Caenorhabditis elegans: one gene and its partners. The protein of the gene in region 2 purifies or fractionates together with the protein of the main gene of each other region. This does not show direct contact. Each region holds a gene or a part of one and is shown on either strand. Other genes may lie near its edges.

The links. Proteins that work in one complex are often made in the same cells at the same time.
Region 1: the proteins of F21D5.7 (region 2) and nth-1 fractionate together in Caenorhabditis elegans (co-fractionation; one large-scale study listed by BioGRID). This does not show direct contact.
Region 3: the proteins of F21D5.7 (region 2) and emc-2 fractionate together in Caenorhabditis elegans (co-fractionation; one large-scale study listed by BioGRID). This does not show direct contact.

Annotation. Positions count from the first base shown.
Region 1 is NC_003281.10:4,291,051-4,295,973, forward strand, and holds nth-1 (Endonuclease III homolog), read right to left. Parts: upstream 3,152-4,923; 5' UTR 3,111-3,151; coding exon of another isoform or gene 2,962-3,110; 5' UTR 2,919-2,961; coding exon of another isoform or gene 2,790-2,918; 5' UTR 2,619-2,789; coding exon of another isoform or gene 2,364-2,618; coding exon 2,172-2,363; intron 1,782-2,171; coding exon 1,704-1,781; intron 1,657-1,703; coding exon 1,564-1,656; intron 1,261-1,563; coding exon 1,062-1,260; intron 1,014-1,061; coding exon 808-1,013; intron 763-807; coding exon 634-762; 3' UTR 547-633; downstream 1-546. Other genes in the region: DNA replication licensing factor mcm-5, read right to left, coding at 32-198; R10E4.6 (DUF1996 domain-containing protein), read left to right, coding at 2,358-2,618, 2,790-2,918, 2,962-3,110, 3,152-3,228, 3,275-3,530, 3,599-3,842, 4,048-4,092; R10E4.7 (GP-PDE domain-containing protein), read left to right, coding at 4,280-4,317, 4,361-4,489, 4,541-4,864.
Region 2 is NC_003282.8:8,740,979-8,745,561, forward strand, and holds F21D5.7 (Signal recognition particle 54 kDa protein), read right to left. Parts: upstream 2,727-4,583; 5' UTR 2,721-2,726; coding exon 2,551-2,720; intron 2,504-2,550; coding exon 2,314-2,503; intron 2,214-2,313; coding exon 2,034-2,213; intron 1,990-2,033; coding exon 1,745-1,989; intron 1,687-1,744; coding exon 1,499-1,686; intron 1,452-1,498; coding exon 1,378-1,451; intron 1,330-1,377; coding exon 1,051-1,329; intron 976-1,050; coding exon 811-975; 3' UTR 517-810; downstream 1-516. Other genes in the region: F21D5.6 (Ribonuclease H2 subunit B wHTH domain-containing protein), read right to left, coding at 1-52, 130-221, 268-403; F20C5.7 (uncharacterized protein), read right to left, coding at 3,433-3,645, 3,709-3,937, 4,060-4,215, 4,262-4,356, 4,416-4,583.
Region 3 is NC_003280.10:1,301,953-1,308,110, forward strand, and holds emc-2 (ER membrane protein complex subunit 2), read right to left. Parts: upstream 4,185-6,158; 5' UTR 4,168-4,184; coding exon 4,131-4,167; intron 4,078-4,130; coding exon 3,944-4,077; intron 3,600-3,943; exon of another isoform or gene 3,549-3,599; intron 3,433-3,548; coding exon 3,244-3,432; intron 3,188-3,243; coding exon 3,104-3,187; intron 3,052-3,103; coding exon 2,893-3,051; intron 1,199-2,892; coding exon 1,103-1,198; intron 1,047-1,102; coding exon 942-1,046; intron 791-941; coding exon 710-790; 3' UTR 547-709; downstream 1-546. Other genes in the region: alh-6 (L-glutamate gamma-semialdehyde dehydrogenase), read right to left, coding at 4,433-4,649, 5,218-5,555, 5,605-6,063.

The DNA.
Region 1 (4,923 bases), on a different chromosome or scaffold from region 2:
GAGAAGTTTTGATCAGAGTAATTGCACAAACCTGTAAATCATTCCGAAGCCTCCAGTGGAAAAATCACGGATAAAATTGCGGAATTGAGTGATAAGCTGACGATATTCAGCGATCAACTCTCTTCCAGTATCTGGAACTCCGTCATTCGCAAAGAATCGTTCCTGATAGTAGATTCCGGGGTTGTCGAGGTTAGACATATTGGTGTTAGTGGATTACTGAAATTTTAAACCATTGAAACAAGGATATGACAATCAGTATTATGTTTTGAGAAGGAAAACTCAGTTTTCTTCTTCAAAATGAAAAAAAATTATGAAGAAAACAAGAAAAAACAATAGAAAAAGGATGAAAATATGGAAATAAAACAGAATGCGGTAAAACGATGCGATTCAAATTTGAAAATTTTTGGCGCCCGCGCCTCACATTCCGCAAACACGCTCACGTACAGACAGTGAATATGACGCGCAAAGTGCATCAATATTTATATAATGGATTTATTGGATCTTCTGTGTTTCATGAAACATAGGAAACCAGATGAATTGCCAGTTTTATTTAAATAAAAACATTAATTTATTCATTCATGTATAATGTATGTTAGAGATCAGTTATCGATTTTCTGCTTGACACTTGCTTTGCTACGTTTCCGATTCAGTTTTCACTTCAATCTTGGTTCTAGTTTTTCTGGTTTTCTTAATCTTTTTCGCAGGTTTTTCATCTTCAAATTCATCCTCAACTTCTTGTTTAACCTCGATACTTGTGGAAGTCTGAAAAAAAATCCGCTTGTCTTTTATTTATAAAAAGGTATAAACCTCTTCAGTCTCGCTCTTCACATTTTTAGCTGTGGAACTGGGGCACGTAAATCTACAGAGACAAGTTCCACATTTCGGACGAACTGGTTGGCATTGCATCTGACCGAATCCAACGAGAAGATGATTAATTGGTTGCCATTCCGACTTTGGAAGTAGAATTTCAAGCGCTTTTTGTGTCTTTTCTGGGGTGCTGGTCTTGATCCAGCCTAGAAATTCAAAAATTCATTTTTAAAATGAAATTAAAAAATATTTACCGAGTCGATTAGAAATTCTGTGAACATGTGTGTCGACTGCAATTCCCACACATTCTCCCCAAGCAATTTGCATGACGAGATTCGCCATTTTTGGGCCAACTCCTGGCAGTGCGCACAGTCCGTCCAGGGAATCAGGGATATCGCCAGAAAAATCATCTTTCAGAATTTTTGCAGTCTTTTGAAGGTACACGGCCTTTCTCTGGAAAGAAAATGTTTAGATTATTACCAAGATGCGAAATTTTACACCAAAAATACAGTACCCGGTCTCGAAACGACAATTTCTGGTAAATACAAAAAGATGTGCGTATTTAAAGAGTACTGTAATTTCAAACTCTCGTTGCTGCGGAATTTTCATCGATTTTTCAGTTTTCCCTTGATTGTAAACAATTTTATTGAAAAAAAAAAACCGAAAAAAAAACAATAAAAATTCCGCAAATTCTGAAACTACAGTACTCTTTGAAGGCGCACACCTTTTTGCATTTTAAATTTCGAGTTACCGTACTTTATAAAATCCAACAGGACACAAAATCGTCTCCAAGTCTGGTACTTTGAATTCGAGAATTTTCCCGATTGACAAGCCATGATCCTTGAGTCTCTGTAAATATAAAAAATGCTTGAAATCAAAATTTATATTTTTCGAACTTTCATCGCCGCCGCATTGACTTCATCTCTGGTTTGACTGGAAAGCATCAGGGCAACAAGAACTTGAAATCGATGAACCTGGAACTCGCAGATTTTATTTTTAAAAAAATCAGATATCACTCAGACGCAAAGCGTTGCGAATTTTAATATACGGTACCCGGTCTTGATCAAGACAAGCTTGACACGACAAATTTTTGTCAAATGCTAAAAGGCGTGCGCCTTCAAAGAGTACTGTAATGTCAAACTGTCGTTGATGCGGGATTTTCATCGATTTTTCAGTTTTTATTCAAATTTGATGTATGAAAAATCGATTAAAATTTGATAGCAGCTAAAGTTTTGAATTACAGTACTATTTAAAGGCGCACACCTTTTTGCATTTAGCGAAAATTTATCATGTCAAGACCGAATACCGTACTTCTGGCTCAAAAATCGCTGCGTCTTGTTAATGAATCCCAGAGCCACACAGACCGGCGGAGCTGCCAAAGGATCTGCAAGCTTATGACATCCCATCGTATCCACAGGTGCAATCATATCCTTTCTCATTTTTCGAATTAATTCCACGTCACGTCTCCAGGCAACTACAGTACCTTCCACGTCACATGTTGCTACAGCAGCTACTGATGATGACGCAACAACTCGTTTCATACTGAAAGAATGCATTTTCAGATCAGCAGATCGTGGGGGAAGAAGCAAGAAACGAGACAAATGAAAACTGTTTTTATTGTTGTTTTATCCTTCTCTTCTCTTCTAACACTGATAAGCCTGGAGAGCCGGAGCACATTTCGTTGCGAGAAGATTAAAGAAATGTTTCAAGCTGCCTTTCTATTTAGTTTGATTATTCATTGTACTGGTTATAGAATGATGACGCCGATTTCGAATTTTATTATTGATTCGCAGAGAAAGGAAGGTGTGCGGGTAAGTTGGTAAGCGAAGGTTGAGATTTTGCGCTATTAGTATGCGCCTTTAAGGACTACTGTAGTTTCCTCGAGTTTGACAAAAATCGTGTCGAAACCGGGTACCGTATTTATAACTTTAATTCGAAACATTTGGATCGGGGTAATACTTAAAATCTTTCCGAAGTTTCAGTATGATGATCAAAACGAATTACGTTTTCATTTGCACGAAGTTGTTAAAGAAGCATTTTCGGATGCAATTCATCAGAATCTTGAAGGGATCGACTATTATAGTCAAGGAATCGCAGAGTCTGAACAGAAGGTAACTACTGAAATAAGCTTCTCCCAGATGAGACCTCTTACAGATTGTTCTTCTCGGAGATCGGATTACCGGTGACAACGTCTCGAACTTTTGTGGATCTCTAGCCAGGAAACAATTCTTCCATGTTCCGATTCATTTTCGAGATGGAATACACTTCAACCCTATCAAACAGATACCGATTCCTGTTGTTAAGTGAGAAATATAAATATAACTACAGTAACCCACGTGTTCAGTTTAACAATTCATATTCCTGATCGATGGTTCAGAGACCCTGGAAGTAGGTCTCCACTGATGTACGTATGTTATGAAGGTGAACTGCAGAGATTTAAGATCTTCATCACATCCTCTTGATTCAGGTGAGACGTTTCTAAAAATTCACCCAATTGAAACAAAACCGATGGATTGGGGAGAAAATGCCAGATTTCGGACAACTTCTATCGTAAATTCATATAATGAGAGGTCTAGGATCAGAGAGATTCTAGTGGTTCTCGATGATTTTTGGAACAATCGATATCTTCTACCACGGAATCTGGATGCTCGAGCAATCCTTGACACAAAGTCCATACTTCCAAGGATCACATTTGGAAAGGAGTGCGATCCTTCTCTTGGAATGTAGGTTGCCCAACTGGCTCAGGAACTTATACTCAATCATTAATCATAATCATTTTTTTAAAATTCAGAGAACAACCATGTTGTCTATGGAAGTTCCAATTCGAAGACATTGATGGAGTCCCACAGGCATTTCATCGATGCTTTGGAAGTATTCCATCAGAAGCACTGAAATCAAATCAGATTCCTGAAGCATTGGCGGATCTATTGCTACGTGGCAAAATGACAAGACGGTTTCTGTCGCCACCAACGAGAGTTTGTAGAGAAGTTTCGTTCAAGCCAATGATTGTTAAGAGACCCGATGGGAAGTATATGGTAGGTAGGCGACTTCGAACTTCGCACACTTAATTTGATTGGTTGGAAAGTAGGCGATGCAAATTGCTCAAATCAAATCGCTAGTCTTGCAGTTCTTATTTTGGAGGGAATTCAAATAGGGGAATTAGTCTTAATAATTTAAAACAGAATTATCATTCACGTTACTCAACCGTTATGGAGCTATGAATAATTATTTCAAATTCAGAAAATGGAACGATTGGATGCGGTAAAATGTGCAGCATTCTATTGATTTGGCGCTTCTCTTCTATGATACATTAAAAAAAAATTTGATCTCACTTGTAACATTTTTTATAAATATAAAATGAATATTTCCGCAGTACACGCGGATTCGTGGATATAATTCTCATTAATTTCTACCACTATAAATTTATTACCGAATTTATAATCTACTAACGACTAACCAACTAACACAAAAAATGAAGATCAGATCGTTGATTCGAGTTCGACTGACAAGGTATGTCAACAATGCAATGTCTCTATTATATCAGTGATTTCAGATTCTTTCCCAGTGATCGATATATAAAAAATCGATGTTCAGGAGCTGATGGTGTTCTAATTGACTTTGAAAAGAAGGAGGATAAAGTAGACGATTATAAACTTTCAAGTTTTCATCGACTGAAAAACAGGTGATTTGTGGATGTCTACAGAATTATTCTAATTTTAATTCTTTTTTTTAGTAAATTCTCACTTCCAAAACTTCTCGTCGACCCAGTCACCACCAACTCTAACCAATGGATTCCCCGATTAATCGAAGAAAAGTCAGTGGACGGAGTTGCGATGCGAAACTTCACCGATGACGTCATCTCGCTGGACAACGAGATATTTACAATGATTTGGGATACACGGGAGCAACGAATAACTCATTCAATTATCAGTTATCATCGAATTAATGATTGTGATATTATGTGGAATAGTAGTATTCGGACAGCTGTACAAGACTCTTTGGAACACGATATTCAACCATTGGCGGCGAGAACTCTCAGATTTAGGGACTATGAAACGTGAGGGGAATTTTTTTAAATTTCCCAATTATTTCGTTATTTTTTCAATTCTAATACTA
Region 2 (4,583 bases):
TTACACTCTCACCGTAGAAGAATGATCGATGACCGTCGTTGACAGCGAAAATCTGCATAAATTTTGTAAGTTTATTCTCATTTAAAAGTTTATTCAGGTTTTTTGTGAAAGCTTGACCAATATTTTTACCTCATCAAAGCACGTTTCGGAGATTCTGAACAGCGCTAGTCCTTCCTTCGGGTGCCGCAGTTTGATGATTCGGCTATTTGGCAAATTGCCCTCTGAAAACAAAAACATTCATTTTTGAAATTAAATAAAGGAAATCACCTTTGGAAATGACAACTTTTCTCGAATAACTCTCATCGGATTCTGGTAATTTTGCAGGTTTAGTTTCTTCTAAAATCTCTTCAACAGCCTCTTCCTCGACGTCTTCTTTTTTTGTTTTTCTAGTTTTTGGTGGCATTCTTGTTCTGAAACTGATTTATTACAATTTGTAATTGATCTAAACTTATGGAAAATAGTTCGAAATTCGTCAAAAAACGAGAACAATGAGATAGAAAATAAACAGGCATATGTTTTTCAGTCATTTTTAAATGTGAATATTTACACCGATGAGCCAAGGGAAAAAACGAGTTTAATTCAGGAAAATTCAAAAGGGAAAAAAGAAATAAATAAATTATTCTTTAACTAAATTGTTTCTAATTAGAATCACAGAATCTGCTAGACAAAAAATGAACTTGGGAAACATTCTGATGAAAGGGAAATCGAGAAATCATATTGATATTATTAAAAAACGTTTTAGTCAGAATGAATTGTGGGAACTGGGAACAGGCATTTCAAAAACTACAGAAAATAATTGCATCCATTTCTTCACATTTTTCCAGCTCTTGCCATCTGCTGCATCATATTTTGAAGGCCTCCCATACCACCCATCTGCTGCAACACACGTGGATCCATCATTTTTGCCATTTGTTGATTCAATTGAGCCATTTTCGCTGGATTCATATTTTTTGGGTTTATATCACCGTTTTTGCCCTGCAAAATGAATTCATTAGAAATAATTATTGAAATTACAAAATTTCAATTTGTCGAATAGGAACAAAACTTTACATTGAAGAGTCCTTTAATTGATCCAATCTTCTTAACAACATCAGAGAATTTCTTGTACTGAGCGAGAAGATCTCGAACTTCTTGTTGATGAGATCCCGATCCTCTGGCAACTCTGGCAACTCTATTTGGTTCTTTTGTAAAGAGCTCAGATGCTTTTGGATGATCCAATTCCTTATCACTCATAGAATCCATCACAGTCATCATTCTCTTCAGCCTGTTGACGGATTCTTGCTCGTTTCCCTTTGTCATAAATTCTGATCCAAAACCAGGAATCATACCCTGAAATAAATAAGTATTCAGGTATCGTTATAAAACATTGAAACGAACCATAATTTGACTGAAAGGTCCCATTTTCATAATGTTTTGGAATTGCTCATACATGTCGCGAAGAGTGAATTGTCCTGGAAATGTTCTTTTCAGTTTTTGAAATTTTTGAAATCAAATTTACCTTGTTTCAGTCTTCCCACCAATTCTTTATTATCCTGAATTCCAATATCATTGACCATATCAACAAGGCCAGCAATATCTCCCATTCCTAGAAGCTTTTGAACAAATGATTTTGGCTTGAAAATCTCAAAGTCATCAATATGTTCTCCTGTTCCGATGAAGATTACTGGGGATTTGGTGACAGCGACACTGAAAAAAGTATTTGAGCAATTTCAAAACGATAAAGGATCTCGAAGTAAAAACTCACGCAGAAAGAGCTCCTCCTCCTTTAGCATGAGAATCCAACTTTGTAATGATAACACTGGCAACATCAACAGTTTGAGAGAAAGCACGTGCTTGGGCTTCACAAGCTTGTCCAATAGAAGCATCCATCACAAAAACAACATTATCTGGTGTAACTGCGTTGGAAACTTGGAGCATTTCTTCGAAAAGTGAAGCTTCTTGCTTGTGACGACCTGATGTATCAACAATGATGATTTCGAACCCTTCTTGCTGCAAAACAAATATTATTAAACCATTTTTCTGTGATAAATTACCGTGAATTTTTCTACTCCTTCGGCGGCAATTTTTACGGGGTCAATTTCAGAGTATGATCCATAGAAGGGAATACGAGCTTTTGTGGCATTTTGCTTTAATTGATCAAAAGCTCCAGCACGGAATGTATCGGCACAGATCAGACATGTTTTCCATCCTTTTCTTTGGTAGTAATACGCCATCTGAACTTGAAAAGTGTTGAAAAGTTGTTGGAAGTTTACTAATTAAAAAATATAATGTTTGATGGTGTGTGAGCTTTCTATTGTAATTCATGGAACGAACCTTGGTACAAGTCGTAGTTTTACCGGAACCTTGAAGACCAACAAACATGAAAACGTTGCGACGTCCTTTTGTTGGTGTGAAAGGAGTTACACCAGGATCCACAAGCTTCAGCAGTTCATTGAATACTGTCTTCTGAATGTACCGACGTTTGTTTGCTCCTCCGACGATCTCTTCGAAATTAATCGCTTTTCTGAAAATATTTATTAAATTTAAATCTTAAATAGCGTAAAAATTTACTTCACGTTGTCCTTAAGTTGCTTTACAAGACGAATATGAACATCAGATTCAATAAGAGCTGTACAGACTTCTTTCAGCATCAAATCCAGCTCCCCCTCATTGATAACGGTGCTCTGACCGAGCTTTCCGATCGCATTTCGGATTTTCCGCCCCAAATCGGCCAAAACCATTTTGAACTGAAATTTGAAATGCTTTAATTTGTTTAAGCATAGAATTAAACGCGTTTTAAATCGAGAGCACCATAAAAACAGTTTGGAGAAAAATCGATAATTCTTGTAGGAGATTCAGTCCCTGTGGTTTTCTTCGGCTTCCTAATCATTTTTTGACGACATAGTGGTATTTCACAATAGGTTTTTTCAAGACACAACAGATTTTTCACAAAGAGTAGAGAAGAAATGGAAAACTGTAGATTTCTTCTCGAAGAGCCGAGAAAGGCAAGGTATTGGAAGTTTAAAAAGGTAATGTTTCTTTATTCTTTTTTCAAAACAATAATAAATGGAAAATATATATTTATAGATAACAATTTCAGACAGTTAAAATCACGTGAAAAATTCAAATTTCAACACAAAAATTGACGAGTGGAACCCCGTTGTTGCGCCTTGAAGAGTAACGCTTGCGCGTTTGACGATTTTATTGACGCGTTTCTGGTGCATGCGGGAAATTTTTTATTTTCAACTTTTTTCCTGTTTGTTTATCCTTTTTTAATTGAATTCTCATGATTTGAAAGCTTTGAAAAATATTATTTTGCTCAAAAACATGCGTTTTGTAAAACATTGATTAGATTCAAGGCAATTAATGGATTTTTGCACGTTCCAAAAAAAAGGAAATTCATTTTTTGAAAATTTTGATAATTTAATAATGAAAAATGTTCCATAGATTTATTCAATGCCATCCTTCTCTATAATCTCGAACTTCCGCATCCTTCAACTGTGGTAGAGGTATTTGCAATACCATATAGTCGTAATAATAAACTTTAGTGAACAAATCCAAGACATCAGCTCTTGAGTAAATGAATGATTTATAAAAACTGCTGATTTTCTCGTAGGAAGAAAGAGAATCAGCTAATAATCCGTCGTTGTCTATTCTGTCAGGCCGCTTAAATGTTAAAAAATAAAAACGTTTTAAGCTAATTTTGTATGTCTAGAAACTCTAACTCACAAGCATTTCTGCATACGCCGGATTAGTTGGTTTTGCAAAAAGCGAGTAATCTACAAAAGTGAATTTTTGATTCATCTCTTCCATTTCACAAAACCAATTTTGTGGTACGTATTTCATATGATCTTCATCCACTTTTTTAGTTTTTGAATGTATTTGTGTGAGTTGTGTCCAGATTTGAATAAGATAACATCTCAGATCCAACTTGCAATTGAAGCAAGAACGATCTTCTCTGAAATTTTATATGACCTTAAACTTTATACTTTTGTAGTTTCGTCGATATCTGATCGTTCAGTTGTATAGGTATGTACATCTCTAGGTTTATGTGCTACACGAAAATATAATTTGTTTTACCTAACACACGCATCCATAAAATGATCTACAAATCGTTCAATTGGATCCTGTCTTGGAAATAATAATTTCCAATTCGTAAAGTTTGCATTCAACTCATTTTCTCGTTTCAAATCGTCGATATCCGCAAAATATGTTAGTGAATCACTATCACACACTCTGAAAAGCACAATATTCATATTTCGTAGTTAATAATGAACCTCACGATTCATCATTAAATTTCTCTTGGAGCCCGCATAATACTTGCTGCCCAATTAAAGTATCAGTTTCACAGATTGCAGTTCTATCATTTCCGATAGCCTCAAATAAGATTTAATCTTAAGCGAGTGTTCTGATCAATTTAAATATTTGATACTCACCGCAAGTTTCTTCGAAACTTGTTCGAAAGCTGGAATTTTAGAATATCCTTCAAAACTTTTTTCCTCGCCCTCATCAAGCCATAATAAGTTTTGATCAGCAATATATTCGAATAAATTAGTCTCTGATAAATCTCGTATCACAATCTTTTTTTCTACTCTAAAGAATAC
Region 3 (6,158 bases), on a different chromosome or scaffold from region 2:
AATTCTCTGCACTTTTGCGTAAAGTGTTCCATGTTTGCGTACTTTTGAGGCTACAGTAACCCGGAAATTTTTATTACAACTCGAATGGAGTCGAAAAAGTCTCGTATGGGTGAAAAAACATAAAAATCCAAATTTAAAACTGATAATGCACAAAAATCAATAATTTTTTTTTGGCTCAACATTTCTGAAAATTATCATTTTTCACTGATTTTTTAAACGATTCTGACACAAAAATTGAATTCTACACAAATTTTTACCCATGTATGGCTTTTTTCGCGCATCTTTCAGGTTTCTGTGCATTTTTGCGTGAGTCGCATGGTGTTTGCGTACTTCTGAGGCTACAGTAACCCAACTTATCGATTTCAGCGCCAAAAAGGAGCCGGAAAAACCGGAATAGATGTGAAATAACGCAAAAATTCAAGATTTTCAAGAAAAAAGTAGTTTTTAGTCTAAAAATTGCTATCAAAAATTGGTCTGCCAGACTACAAACTACAAAAAGCTATTTAGCAGACCCAAGACTCTAAAATGGAGCAAAAACGGTGGCAAAAATCATCACATTTATTTATTCTTGAGGAGTTCTTTTTTTCGATAAATATACTTTCGATAGACATTAAAAAAATTGAATTTTAACAGAAAATAAATAGGAAATAATCGAATATTCGGGGGAATGTACGTAAAGCATATCATTTTTTGGGAGGAAATTGACAATTTATTTGCTTCCAACAGTGACTTTCATGGCTTCGAGGCAATTGAGAATTCCGTCCGATTCTGGATTGCTTTTTGGACTTATCTGGAATTTTTTAAGGTTATTTTTAGAAAAATCACGATTTTTTTCGAATTTTTTTTTCAAAAAATTCAAGAAAAAACAGCCGAAATTCGGCATTTTTTGGAGTTTTTAGAGCTTTTTCCAATTAAAAACTATTAATTTTATCAAAATCTACCTTCTGATAACGATTAACCAAATTATCGATTGCATCAACTGCTGCAGCTCCGGCTTTCTTCTTTTCCGTCGCATTTTTGGTGGTCGCCGCGATCAAATTGTTGCTCTGAAACATTAATATAGACTACAAACTACAAACTACAAACTACAAACTACACTTACCAATAGAATTCCGTATTGAGATCTCAAATCGGTTGGGTTGATTTTGAGCGCACGTTCGTAGTAGGAACGAGCCAATTCCACGTTTTCGGCGCCTCCCTGCAAAAAATATAGTTTGGGTCTGCCAAATATGAATATGTAGTTTGTAGTCCAGCAGACCAATTTTTTCAAAATCACATGGGTCTGCTAAATCGAAATTTGTAGTTTGTAGTCCAGCAGACCAAGTTTTTCAAAATCACTTGGGTCTGCTAAATCGAACATTGTAGTTTTTAGTCTAGCAGACCAATTTCGAATTGAAATCACTTGGGTCTGCTAAATCGAACATTGTAGTTTGTAGTCTAGCAGACCAATTTTTTTCAAAATCACTTGGGTCTGCTAAATCGAACATTGTAGTTTTTAGTCTAGCAGACCAATTTCGAATTGAAATCACTTGGGTCTGCTAAATCGAACATTGTAGTTTGTAGTTTAGCAGACCAATTTTTTTCAAAATCACTTGGGTCTGCTAAATCGAACATTGTAGTTTTTAGTCTAGCAGACCAATTTCGAATTGAAATCACTTGGGTCTGCTAAATCGAACATTGTAGTTTGTAGTCTAGCAGACCAATTTTTTTCAAAATCACTTGGGTCTGCTAAATCGAACATTGTAGTTTTTAGTCTAGCAGACCAATTTCGAATTGAAATCACTTGGGTCTGCTAAATCGAACATTGTAGTTTGTAGTCTAGCAGACCAATTTTTTTCAAAATCACTTGGGTCTGCTAAATCGAACATTGTAGTTTTTAGTCTAGCAGACCAATTTCGAATTGAAATCACTTGGGTCTGCTAAATCGAACATTGTAGTTTGTAGTCTAGCAGACCAATTTTTTTCAAAATCACTTGGGTCTGCCAAATATGAATATGTAGTTTGTAGTCTAGCAGACCGAATTTCTTCAAAATCACATGGGTCTGCTAAATCGAAATTTGTAGTTTGTAGTCCAGCAGACCAAGTTTTTCAAAATCACTTGGGTCTGCTAAATCGAACATTGTAGTTTGTAGTCTAGCAGACCAATTTTTTTCAAAATCACTTGGGTCTGCCAAATATGAATATGTAGTTTGTAGTCCAGCAGACCAATTTTTTCAAAATCACTTGGGTCTGCTAAATCGAAACTTGTAGTTTGTAGTCCAGCAGACCAAGTTTTTCAAAATCACTTGGGTCTGCTAAATCGAACATTGTAGTTTGTAGTCTAGCAGACCAATTTTTTTCAAAATCACTTGGGTCTGCTAAATCGAACATTGTAGTTTTTAGTCTAGCAGACCAATTTTTTTCAAAATCACTTGGGTCTGCTAAATCGAACATTGTAGTTTGTAGTCTAGCAGACCAATTTCGAATTGAAATCACTTGGGTCTGCTAAATCGAAACTTGTAGTTTGTAGTCCAGCAGACCAATTTTTTCAAAATCACTTGGGTCTGCTAAATCGAACATTGTACTTTGTAGTTTGCATTGTAGCAGACCGTTCAATTTTTTTTAGTTTTCCTTAAAAAAAATCAATTTTCAATCATTTTCGGTAATTTCTCTATATTTTTTAAAAATTTCTTCATTTTTTGCATTAAAATAATATATTTTCGTTGAAAATTTGTTTTTCTGACATTTTTTTGACGGAAAACTGACAATTTTCGATTTTTTTTCTTCAAAAAAAAAAGTAGAAAAACGAGAAAAAACCAATTTCCATTGAAAATGTATTTGGGTCTGCTAAATATGAATTGTAGTTTGTAGCCCCCAGCAGGCCCAAATTTCTCCAATTTTCCACACACATACTTGAGTATATCTCAAATCGGCTAATCGTCTGAAATACATGGAATTCAGCGGCGAAATGAGCACACACTCCTCCAGGCAATGTACCGCCTTTGCCACGTCATTTTCGAGCAGGAAAAGCTCGCTGAGCTGAAGCCAAGCTTCTGGGTCGTTCAGGAAAATCTGAAAATTAATAAATTTTAGAGTTTTTTTTTTCTAGAAATCAAATGAAAACCTTCAGGTAATCGTTGATAGCTCGAATTGCGTCGAGACGCTTTCCCTGAGCGAGAAGAACCGCGACTTTTCGCTTGCGGAAGCTCTGAAAATTCAAATTATTAGAAATTTTGCAAAAAAAAAATTTCCTGAATTTTTTACATTATTATTGGGCTCATCCTCAACCAGTCGCTCATAAATATCCAACGCCTTCTGATAATGTTCCGTAGATTCCAACTGCATCGCTTTCAGCTTCAAAACTCGATTACTCTTCGGAAATTGTGCGTGAAGTTGGTCAATGCAATCCTGAGCCAGATCGACACGAGCCGCGTCGAGTGCTGCGATGCACACCTGAAAAAAATTGGAAAAATTAGGTGAAAATTCGATTTTCTCGTGAAAAATGAGTATGGGTATGCTAAATCGAAGCTTGTAGTTTGTAGTCTAGCAGACCAAATCTCCTCAAAACTACATTGGTCTGCTAAATATGAATTTGTAGTTTGTAGCCTAGCAGACCAAATTTCATCGAAACCACTTGGGTCTGCTAAATATGAATTTGTAGTTTGTAGTCTAGCAGACCCAAATTATTGAATTTTTTCTCGAAAATAATCATTTTTTCAGTAAAAAATGACCGTTTTTATTGATTTTTTCCAGTTTTTCGCCGAAATTTGTATTATTTTCACTATTAATCAACCAGAAACGTGATAACTTAGAAAAAAGCGTGGGTCTGCTAAATATAATACTGTAGTTTGTAGTCTAGCAGACCAATATGCTTTTCACCAAAAAAACCAGAAAATCTATGGTTTTTTTCTATTCAAAGCCAGATTTTCAGGATTTTCAGCGTTTTTCGACAAAATTTCAGCACCTGCTCCAACACAGCCCATTGCTCGTCTCCAAGAGAAGCCGGTGAGCGTGAAATAACGTGCTCCCAAATTTCGACGACCTCATCACTTCGTCGAACTCCGCATTCTCGCCACTTTTTCAGCGCTTGACGTCCTTCTGCAAGCATTTATCGATTTTTTTTTCAAAATTTGAATATTGTAGAATGTTACCATCGTAAGAGACTTGCGTCCACTCGGTTTCAACCATTTTCGGGAGGGAAATTTCTGAAAAATATTGATTTTTTCCAACTTTTTAATGGAAAAGTTCGGTTGGAAGGTATAAAAATAGCGAGAAAACTATAAAATAAACGGTTATAGCTGGAAAAAAGGAAAAAAAACAAAATTTATTATGCGATCACGGGGGAAAAAAAATTAAAATTCAGTGGTAAAGCAATAATTGTTGACCTAATCAAAAAGAAAACTATATTCTCAATATGAGAAAAATCGGAAATGAAAAGAAAAAAACAACATAATTATTCCATTGATGGATATTTCCAGTCAGTCAATGACACCGACGTCTCCTTAATCGTCAGCGGCGAGGTCCATCGGAGCCCATAGTGGGGGCCACCGGCCTTATCATTGGTTCCGGACAATCTGGAGCCTCCGAATGGCTGCTGGCCGACGATTGATCCAGTTGATTTGTCGTTGAGGTACATGTTGCCGACGGCGTCGCGGAGAACATCGCGAGCTCTGAGAAAAAAAAACACTTTGTTGAAAAACGTTTTTAACACAAAAATTCGCCTCAAAAATCTCGAAAAATCGATCGAAATCCAACAAAAATTCCAATAAAAAATACCGTAGCCCTTTAAAGGGACACACACTTTCACTGTTGGGTCTCGCCACGCTCAGGAACATCTTACTGTCGCTTTCAAATTTTTTGTTTGTTGTTATCGCTTTTTTTTTTCGATTTTTGCCAGTTTTTCTAGCTTTTCATTTGATTTGTGACGAAATTCGAGGGTTTTTATTGGAGAAATTGTGTAATTATCGTTTTTCGACATTTTTTAACCTATTTTGTTCGGTTATAGAGAAATTTCTTGAAAATTGCCGAAAAAACAGAATTTCAAGATTTCGAATTTTCCGGGAATAATTTTAAATCGACTTTTGGCAGTTTTCTTGTGCCTAAAATGTTGAATTTCAGCATTTTTGAACATAACAAACCCGAAAATTCGAGTTTTTCTTCTTTCCGCTGGGTTTTTAGATAAAATTTTTGAGTCCCTGAAAACCTGTGCAAAAACTTGTATTTTTTGTAGTTGCCAACCTATAAAGGAACTCCTTATCCTGCGAAAAAACGGCGCCAGTCAGCCCATAAGGTGTCGCGTCTTTCACAGTCGCGAGCACCTCATCAACCTTCGAATCCTCGTAGACCAGTACCGTCACCACCGGTCCGAACATTTCCTCAGTGAGAAGCTTGCTCTTCGGATCCGTCACAGTGATCAGGGTCGGCTCGATGAAGTATCCCGTTTTGTCGTCACATTTTCCGCCGAGCACCACATTTGCTCCGTCGGCTCCGGTTTTCGCAAAGTCAATGTAGGCCTTGAGCCTGGCAAACGCCTTATCATCGATCACAGCCGACAGAAAGACGGATCCATCGCGAACCTGTAAACTACAAACTACACAAAAATCGGCAAGCCAAACAGTGGCCTACATCTCCAAGCTTGATCTCTTTGTGAATCGCCGAGATTTTCTCGAGAATCTTTGGCCAAATCGATTTTGGCGCGTACATCCTGGAGCACGCCGAGCACTTTTGTCCCGAATATTCCCAGGCGGAACGGGCGGTTCCAGCGGCGACAGCGTCCACGTGGGCGGATGGATGCACAAAGTGGAAGTTTTTTCCGCCGCATTCTCCGATGAGTTTCGGAAAAGTCACATAGTTATCCAAATTCTCGGCGACTTTTCTCCAAATCGTCTTGAAAGTTGGCACGGAGCCAGTGAAATTGACAGCGCTCAAGTGTGGAGATGCGGTGATGACGTCACCGAAAACGGGGCCATCTGATGGCAAGAATGAGAGAATTCCAGGTGGCATACCAGCTTCCTCGAGGAGTTCGTAGATTATATAATTGGAGAGCACGGCGGTGTTCGATGGCTTCCAGAGGGAGACGTTACCCTGAAAAAATTGGGATAAAAATGATTTTTTTTTCGAGGGGAAAATGGCATTAAAATCGCGAATTTCATAGATTTCTCAAAAAAAAAAGTTAAAAA